Chlamydomonas reinhardtii: one gene and its partner. The protein of the gene in region 1 binds, or shares a complex with, the protein of each later gene. Links are inferred from orthologs where the notes say so. Each region holds a gene or a part of one and is shown on either strand. Other genes may lie near its edges.

What was found.
Region 2: CHLRE_12g540076v5 (region 1) and CHLRE_01g029450v5 share a complex: the UniProt entries of both Arabidopsis thaliana proteins name them as parts of the FACT complex. The link is inferred for Chlamydomonas reinhardtii from reciprocal best matches to the Arabidopsis thaliana genes SPT16 and HMG.

Annotation. Positions count from the first base shown.
Region 1 is NC_057015.1:9,488,351-9,492,691, forward strand, and holds the start of CHLRE_12g540076v5 (uncharacterized protein), read right to left. Parts: upstream 2,991-4,341; 5' UTR 2,892-2,990; coding exon 2,823-2,891; intron 2,686-2,822; coding exon 2,559-2,685; intron 2,418-2,558; coding exon 2,361-2,417; intron 2,197-2,360; coding exon 2,093-2,196; intron 1,862-2,092; coding exon 1,676-1,861; intron 1,544-1,675; coding exon 1,456-1,543; intron 1,340-1,455; coding exon 1,275-1,339; intron 1,184-1,274; coding exon 1,127-1,183; intron 1,038-1,126; coding exon 953-1,037; intron 835-952; coding exon 647-834; intron 519-646; coding exon 291-518; intron 180-290; coding exon 81-179; intron 1-80. Other genes in the region: CHLRE_12g540502v5 (uncharacterized protein), read left to right, coding at 3,299-3,352, 3,518-3,610, 3,695-3,769, 3,917-4,225. UniProt on the Arabidopsis thaliana protein: Component of the FACT complex, a general chromatin factor that acts to reorganize nucleosomes. The FACT complex is involved in multiple processes that require DNA as a template such as mRNA elongation, DNA replication and DNA repair.
Region 2 is NC_057004.1:4,349,216-4,353,765, reverse strand, and holds the start of CHLRE_01g029450v5 (uncharacterized protein), read right to left. Parts: upstream 2,824-4,550; 5' UTR 2,612-2,823; coding exon 2,555-2,611; intron 2,461-2,554; coding exon 2,275-2,460; intron 1,769-2,274; coding exon 1,574-1,768; intron 1,231-1,573; coding exon 1,093-1,230; intron 773-1,092; coding exon 623-772; intron 59-622; coding exon 1-58. Other genes in the region: CHLRE_01g029400v5 (uncharacterized protein), read right to left, coding at 4,012-4,550. UniProt on the Arabidopsis thaliana protein: Component of the FACT complex, a general chromatin factor that acts to reorganize nucleosomes. The FACT complex is involved in multiple processes that require DNA as a template such as mRNA elongation, DNA replication and DNA repair.

The DNA of each region.
Region 1 (4,341 bases):
GTGCACTTCATTAGCACCCCTATTTGCCTCAGGCACACGAGGAACACCATACCAAACTCCCGGCGAAAGCTGTAGCTCACCTGAATGGTGTAGGTGACCTTATCGAAGTTCTTGGGGGCGGACTGAGTGGCAACCTCGTTTGGGCGATCGCCATCCACCACCACAATCGTGTCGGCGACCTGCATGACCGACGGGCGCATGCACAATGACGTGCACATCCACCGAAGTTCATGCGCAAGTACGGTCGGCCAGATTGCTGGCCAAGGCGTCATTGAAGCCCCAACCATCACCTGCAGGGCATAGTTCTTGGCCTTCGGGTCGCTGGCGTCCGCATTGGTCAGCCCCGCCACACCCAGGCACACGTTAAACACCATGCCAGCGCGCACACGTGGCGCGCCGTCCTCTCCCGCCGCGGCGGCCTTGCCTGAGCCCGGGAGTGGCAGCACGTGGGTGCCCTCCCGGAACTCCAGGCCCATGCCGAAGCCCACGTTGCGGGATAGCAGCGGAATCAACGCCTCCTGCAGAAGCAGTGAGCCATGTGGCATTGCATGCGGTCAGGTTGTCATGTCGCTCAAGTCCTGAGCTACGCCGCTGCAAGTTCAGCCCTAGACGGCGCTCAGAGCAGGGCTACGCGTAAGCCGCCTACCTGGCCGCCAGCCTTGAGCGAGTTAACCACCGCCTCGCCGGCGGCCGTCAGTGGAGCCCCAGGCTTCAGCGCGGTGATGGCTGCCTCCTGCGCCGCCAGCAGGGCGTTGTACTGCGCTGTCTGGTCCTTGGAGGGGTTGATGATGTAGGAGCGGCTAATGTTGGCGCAGTAGGAGGCGTAGCGGGTGCCTGCGTGCGCAGTGCAAGGAGTTGAGCGCTATTTATGCAGGTAAGTGTCATTCGTTTCTTTGTCCATTAATGCATCCCAAACTTCCCGAATGCATCCGCACATGCCTGCCGTCCTTACCAAGTGACACCACAATGACGCCGTCATCGTGCAATGGGCTGTCGTTGGAGGGCGCGCTCACACGCAGGTCGTATACGCCGCCCGACTGCAAGAAACGGCAAAGGCGGGTTTGCGGCCGCAAACCAGGGGGCATGCACCGCTGACCGCAAAACATGCCGCACTTGTCACACGCACCTGGAAACTGGGCGGGTAGGCAATGTCGCAGTTCTCGGCCTTCAGTTTCACTTGCACCTGCGCATGGGTATGCAGGCACAGCAGGGTGATACATATGGAGCAGGAAAGCGCGGCAACATAAGCACTCAGTCATGTTGCCCCCTCACACCTTGGTTGGGTCCGTGATGACCTCCTCGCACATCTCGCTGAGCTTGCTGTGCTTCATCTTCTTGCCTGCAGTCAGGCGAGTAATGCACTTAATCGAATCCTCTCGAGAGACAGCTTGCGTGCCTCCAGCATTGCACAACACTGTCTCCAACGCATGGCAGTGTCCCCAGCTCCCCACTCACCGGAGTCCACCACATCCTCCACCTTGGGCACCACCCAGTTCTGCACCGCCTTTGCTGCCAGCAGCGCCGCCTTCTTCACATTCAGAATCTGCGGACAGGTCAACCACCGTTAGCAGTGGGCGCAACGCGCGGTGCTAGCTGCAAACAGCTTCCCCAAACCCCGTTGTGCAAGCATCGTGTTCCCGACACATGATACCCGTGGCCACGTTAACAACCCCACCTCGTTGGCATCCTTGCACGCCAGCAGGTCCGCCACACCATTGTTGATGTCCACTTGCGTCAGGCCGCTTTCCGTCATCGCGCTGGTCCACACGTCAATCAACTTGCCCGTGTGCTTGTCCTTGGGCAGGTGGCCCACCACGGGGCTGCCGCTAGCGGTGCGGGCCGCGTCCAGCAGTTGGGTGCACTGCACCCATGACACACAGACCTACCCATTGATGCTGTGTTGTCGTGCGGCAGAACGCGCTCAATTTGCCAAGCAAGCATCTTATGTGCACTCCAAAGTCACACACTCATGTCGAAGGTTAGTATACTGCTGCACTCCAAAGTGCCGAGCCAACTATTCCACGCAACGAAGTTGTGATGTCCGGCTCTTGAAAGCCACGAAGTCGCCAGCGCCCGGCTATCAAGTACACACCTGGCCTGCTCCATCCTCCGCCTTTGGCTTGACGAGCACCTCCACGCGAACGTCCCCAGCCTCGCCCTTCTCGCAAGCCTCCACCACCGGTTGCAGCAGAGAGGCTATACGGACACCGGGAACAGCACATGAGCACCGTGAGGCTATCGCCCATAGCCCAGCACACATTTACAGACCATCCATTACATGCAACACCAAGCTTCATCCCCTGCACGCTCATGCAAGCTGCATCCTTCGGGACCCGACCAGCGGTGTCCGTGTTCCTTACCCTTCTTTTGGCTGGTCAGAACGTGCACGCGGTTATTCGTAAACAGCATGACCGTCTCTGCATAGGTACGGAATAATCCGGTTAGTGGCGTCTCGGCAAGCGCCAAGATGGTAACGGGCGGGGCCGACAGGCAGGCGCACAAGGGGCAACCCGCAAAACCCCTCACCCCGCCCCCGACACTGGACACTGCCGCCCCACCTGGCAGCTCATAGCCAAACAGCCACATATGCAATGAGTTTGACTTGAGGTACCGCAGGTCCTCTGATGGCGCGCCCACGGCCACCGCGAGTACGTTCGCGCCAGCCCAGACGCCATCTTGCTGAGTCTGCGCGGGCATGCCAACATTGCTCCATAGATCTATATCTGCTTGTACAATATTTCGCATGCTAATGAAGCATCCCTTCAATGACGAGTGCAAAGGGATCTCCGAGCAATTTTAAAATGCTGATAGCTCCTCCTCACCGTCCAGTTCTCATACAGCTTTTTAAGCCTCTTGCAGCAGTTGCCAACGTCAATCGCTACGTCGGCCATCGTGGCCGCGAAGAGCGGCCCCTGAAGAGCGCGCGAACGAGTCCTGCTATAGGATAAGGCAATGAGAGCCTAACCCAAAAGTCAGTATACGGTCGCGTTTAGACTGGGGCCTGGCAGTCCTGCGAGTTGGAGCATGCAGTTCCACAGCGGAACTGCTCCGCATGGCGCCCGACCGAAAGTTAGGGAACAGCGCGCACACCACACAAAGCCATTTTATGTAAATCGCATACATAAAGTACCAGCTTGCTGTATTAATACCCTCGCCGACAGCTGAGAACAGGCTCTGACTCTGAGCCTGCGAGGCCTCTCGCTCTGTCTTCCTAAATCTCGTTGAGTGATCAGACCAATACTTAATTCCCATGGTAGCTGCAGGGCCCTAGGGCTGTTGGGTAGTGTGCCAGCCCAGCATGGAGTCGATGCGGGCAGCCGCTGTCCGCGTTCTGCTCCACTGCTGCGCGCAGGTATGCGGACGCCAATGGAACTCCCTCCGTGGATCTGTACTGTGCGCTAAGAGCAGCACTAGACGCACCATCGTCTTGCCCTTGATCGAGTGGCATGTCCGCATGTGCGCGCGCGGCTTGCGCATGTGCGCGCGCGTTTAATGGAGCCGGCCGTCCCATTCGCAGGACCTTGAGCGCATCCTACGATGCAATGCACCTGGAGAGGAGCATTTGGCGTTGCCACTGTCTGCTATCGCGCTTGCCAACCATGAGCCAGAGGTGCGTTGGCAAGCGTGCGACGGCTGAGCAAGGGTGCCTGATATGGCATGGTGTACCTTTAACTGCAATCGCTGCCGCTTGCAGCTTGCAGCGGGTCTGTACGCTCGTCCTTTGGAGGTCTTAACACTGCTCGATGAGGCGACAATCCCTGCCCAGCTGGTTGGTATGGCTGACAACATGAACGCAGCGTTCGGCCCGGAGAGCACGGGGTATGAGAAGCTTGGGGGTGTGAGGCTGTGGGTGTGCCCTCCTCCTGAGTCGCAGTGCGCGCGCTTACCTTCAGATCTCTTGTTGTTAACTCTGCAGGAGATGAAGTCAGCCATTGAGCAGGGAATGGAGGGGCAGCAAGCAGCGGCAGCTGTGGGCGGCGGAGCAGGGCAGCTGCTTCCGGTGCAGTGCGCTCTGAACGTGTGCGACAACGTGCACGTGCGGCTGGTGTCGCTGCCCACCTCGCTGGACCCACACCCGAGTCCCATGCGACCGCCCTTAGCTCGCCTGGGCTGCTCGCAGCTGCACCAGCTGCTGTATGTGAACGGCACAGTTGTGCGAGGCGGCCCCGTCCGAGTTTGGGAAAGCATACAGTTCTTTGAGTGCTCCCGCTGTAAGGAGAAGTGAGTGAGCATGGGCCACCGCAGATCCCAGAGACAAGCGCTCCGTTGATAACTGACTAAATGGAAGGCGTGGCTGCGTGGCAGGTTCCCCCTCAAGTCTTCATTAAACGATGGCGGGGC
Region 2 (4,550 bases), on another chromosome or scaffold:
GTTTGGGCAGGATGAAGATGCGCTGGATGGAGGCGTAGCGCACCTTGAAGTCTTGGGACTGCAGGGTTGTGAGGGGTGGCGGGATCGGAATCGTGATGGGATAGCGGGGGCGCATTTGTGGTGCGGTATGCGCAACAATGCCTTCCCGCGGCCCCCGGCATCCCGCCTGCACGCCCTGCTTGAACGTTGAAAATGCCCGTGCCGCTTCTCCCGCAACAAATGACGTTGACCCCTGCTCACGCTTTGCCGCGCAAAACACCTCGCATCCTAGCGCCCCCGAGACTTCCTGCCCCCTCCGCATGTCGCCACCTACTCCTCCGCCATTGCTGCTTCCCTTTTGCCCGCACCCCCGCCACCGCTCTACTGCTTCAGTCCCAACCTTGCAAACCCCCCCGCCATCTTCCCAACATTCCCATGCACGGCCTACACACGCAACCCCGATCTCCGACCCCAGCCCGGCACTCATCTTCCCCTCTCCCCTCCTCCCTCCTCCCTCCCCTCCTCCCCCCCTCCGCTTTCCTCCCTCCCTCCTCCCTCCTCCTTCCTCCCCCCTCCTCCCTCTTCCTCCCATCCTCCCTCCCTCCTCCCTACCCTGCCCTCCCTCCTCCCTCCTCCCCCTCACCTGTCCTCCCAGCTGCAGGTAGCCCAGGTGCATCTCCACTTCGAAGCGGCCGCGGGGCGCCACAATGCCCACCTCGCTGAACACACACACCGGCTCGTCCGCCGCCGCGGCCTCCGTGTCCGCGTGCGGCAGCAGCGCGTCCAGCATGACCTGGGGAGAGGAGGGAGGGAGGGAGGCGGGGCAATGCCGCTCGACATGCCTCCATGGCGTGTTGACAAATCCATAGGGCATCGCGCCCCGACAGGTGTAAGCATTTCCCCCGACTGCTGGCCGCCCGCCCAGCTGCCAATCATGCCCCCACACCCCCACACATACACCCCTCAAGTCGCTCTCACCCCCGGCATTGGCAATGGTTTACATTGGGATTGGAATAACCTAACCACCATCACCCCGTGCCATCCACCCCACCACACACTCACACACACGCCACCCCTCGCCCCCCACCCCCACCCCACACGGCCCGGCCCCACCTTGGCCGGGGGCACCTCCTCGCCCTGCGCCGGGAAGTCCTCATTGCCGGGCGGCACGTAGAAGGCCAGCTCCGTGAGCATGTCCTCCGCCACCTCGCCGCCCGTGTCGTCCACGTGCAGCTCAAGCATCACGTCGTCCTGCAGGTGAGGGGCGGAGCGGGGCGGGGCGCAGGGCGCAGGCTCAGACGCGTGAACGCCGCAGTTCGCTGCCCACCGACCCCTACGCTTTGCAACACACGCACGCGCGCGCTCACTCCCACGCACGCACATACACGCCCACCCACAACGCAGCCCGCTCTTTCCCGTCCCTGTGCTTTACACTACAACGTTCCGCAAACCCACACCACGGCCCATACGGCCATACACGGTCTTGGCATTCTCCTTTCCCATCTTCCTCTCCTCAGTTCCAACGCCCCACTCCTCCCCCCCTCTTCTCCCTCCCTCCCCTCCATCCACCCCACCCCACACGCCGCCCGCCCACCTTGGTCTGCTGCGCCGTGCACACGTCCGGTAGCGGCAGCTCGAACGCCACCTTGCCGCCCACCAGGAAGGCCAGGCTGGCGCCGCGCAGCTGCACGCCGCCCCAGTTGTGGCCGCTGGTGGACAGCGCGCCCTCGCTCACGCCCTCAGGCAGCGCCAGCGTGGTTCGGGAGTACTGCTGCAGCGTGTCCAGATCCTGAAGAGTGTGTTTGTGTGGTGGGGGGGGGGGCGCAGGGGGGTAGCTTATGCAGATGCCAACTAGCCCAAGGCCCGGGACCCAGCCCACAGGTCGCGGGAGTGGTTGCGTATTGTCAAGGAAGGGGAGCACCAAGTAGGGTAGATGAACCAAGCGGCGCAGGGAGGTGCAGAGGCGGTTGTGCAGTTGATACAGGGCAACAACGGACAAGGGAATACGGCTACTAAAGGAGCGGCGGGAGACAGGGAAGAAGGGGTGCAGCAGGCTGCCAAGTCCAAGCGGCGTGGTGCCAAGCGTCTCTGAAGCTGCCGGGCTGCCGACTACTCCCCATGGCGACTGAGCCAATTGGTGCACCACCGCACAGCTCATGCAGCTACCAGCTGTTGGGTTGCCGCCCCGCGTCGGTCCAGGCCCCGGCCGGCCGGCATTGCAGGCCCCGCGTGCCGGACCCGGCCAAGCCCCCTGCACCCGCTCGGCCCCCCGGCAGCGCCGTTAACGCAGCGCACCTTGTCCCTGAACCCCAGGAAGTTCACGGTGGGGCCGCCCTTTCGCCGAACGCTCAGCTGGCAGCCCCGCGGGACTTTAGTCCAGGACAAGGCTTCAATTTCGTCCTTCTTCACCTCAACCAGCTTGCTGCCCTGCTTCCGACGCCATGTCAGCCCGGTAGGAGCAAGCTTCAGGACTCCCGAAGCCTGCGAGTAGCAAACCGGATTGGGATTTCGCGTTGGCGCGCCAGTGCTCGCTCAAGTGCGCCGACGACAGCGCGCCAGTCTGAGCGCTGCTCACCACTCCACCGCGGCCACCAAGCCAGATCTCTCCGAACGCCTGCACGCCTTCGGCCATGGCTGCCGAGGAGGCGCGAGGGCCGCAAACTCAAATGCCAAAGATCGAGCTACGTCGGTCTAGCGTTGTTCCTGGAAAGGTTGGTTGATAGGATTACGTATATCTTCGTAATATAGAATGGCAAGCAGCGGGAGACCAGAGTTCGCCCTTGTTTGGCGCGCCAAGTGCCAACTCAAGCCTAGCTTTAGCAGAACTAGCCTAACGCGTGCCAATCTACAACAAGTTGCTAATTTGTATATTGCAATTTGCTTGTCGGCGGGCGGTCCTGTGCATCGGCGATGCCCATCGGCACGCCCACGCACCACGCACGGCACACGTCCAAAGGGCCCCCGCAAACATGCCATCTCTTGCACATGTTGCTGGCGTGTGCTAGCTCGGGTAATTCATGCGCACACGCAATCTGCTCCTACACCTGGGCCGTGCAGGCCAAGACAACTAGGCCAGTGCTGTGGCGCTGCTGCCAAGGTCCCGCCAGCGCCAGGGCTGCACGAAGCGGTTCACCCATCACGGCCGCCACGCAGCCTGCGCCACGTGCGCTTGCGGATGATACCGTCCAACCTGGGCCTTGTCACATGCAAAGTACGGACAAGTCCTACGCAATGCTGTCGTGTCAAGTGCAACCTCTCCATTCAGCCATGTGCAGGAGTGCAGGACTCCGGCGCCCCCGCTGCCCAGATTGCATTGGTTACAAGAGGGACCTGCTGACGCACTTCACGAGCCAGTGGCGTGGAGAACGAACACCCTGCTCTGGACCCCAGGGGCGTGCCGCCTGCGACGCCGTCGGCCTTCTCTAGCTCTAGTAGGCTCCCTGCCCAGCTGCCGAATCGAAATGCAATGCAAGGAAACGCCCACTCAGTGCCCGCCATGACGTGCAGCTGGTTCAGTCCAACGGAAACCCCGCGCTAGTCCGCGCTTCCAGCGGGCTCGCAAGTCCACCCAGTCCTGTGTTCCTCTCTGACCCGACGCATTGCTGCGCCCCATCACGACCCACATCTCGCCCATGCCATAAATGCTTCACCCTCACCCACAAACACGCACGCTCTTTCAATCTTTCAAAAAGGTTTAAGTCTGTCAGCATCTATGAATGGGGGCCCAGCCTCGCAGCTACCTGCACCCGGCCATGTGTCGCGTTGCAAGCCTTCTCGATGCGCGCACAAACAGCAACGCGGTCAACCCGTAGCTGCGTCTACATTCTGGGCTGTCTCTTCATATGCTCGCTCGCTCGGCCATACGTACACTCACTCAATGCAGTCCGCACGCGACCGCACACCAATGCCACCAAGCTCACCCGGACCACGCATGCATCCTCGCAAGAACTCCTGGAATCACGCCAAAACGGCAAACCTTCCACTCCCTAAACTCCAGTACAATGGCTCACACAATTATGGACATGTCCAGGACTACTGCGGCAGTGCCTGCTGCGGCTGCTGCATCGCTGCCAGCACCCGCTGCACCGCTATCTGCGCCGCCTGCTCCGCCGCCGCTCGAGCTACCTCCTCCAGCGCCGAGCGCTCCACCACCACTAGGCCCGGCGGCAATGACGCCTGCGCCAGCTGCGGCGAGGCCTGTCCGCCGCCGCCCCCTCCTGCACCCAGACTGCCGGAGGCGGCGCCGGACAGCGGCGGCCTGAGCGACGTCCCAACTCCCATCCCAGGAGCAGCGCCGCTAGACGAGCCCCGAGATGGCGCCTGCCTCCCGCTGCCGCTCCCGCTCCCGGCGCCACTCCCTCTGCTACCAGGGCCGTGACCGTCACCCATCGCCGCCGCAACCGCATCCCGCGCCGCCTCCCGCGCCGCGGCGGCGCTGACCTCCGCCAGCTGCTGCCTCAGCGCCGCCGCCAGCCGGTCCTCCAGCCCCGCCGCCGCCCGGCGCTGCGCCTCCTCCATGGCGCCCATGCGCTCCAGCAGCCGCTTCTCCAGCTGCACCGCGTCCTCCAGCA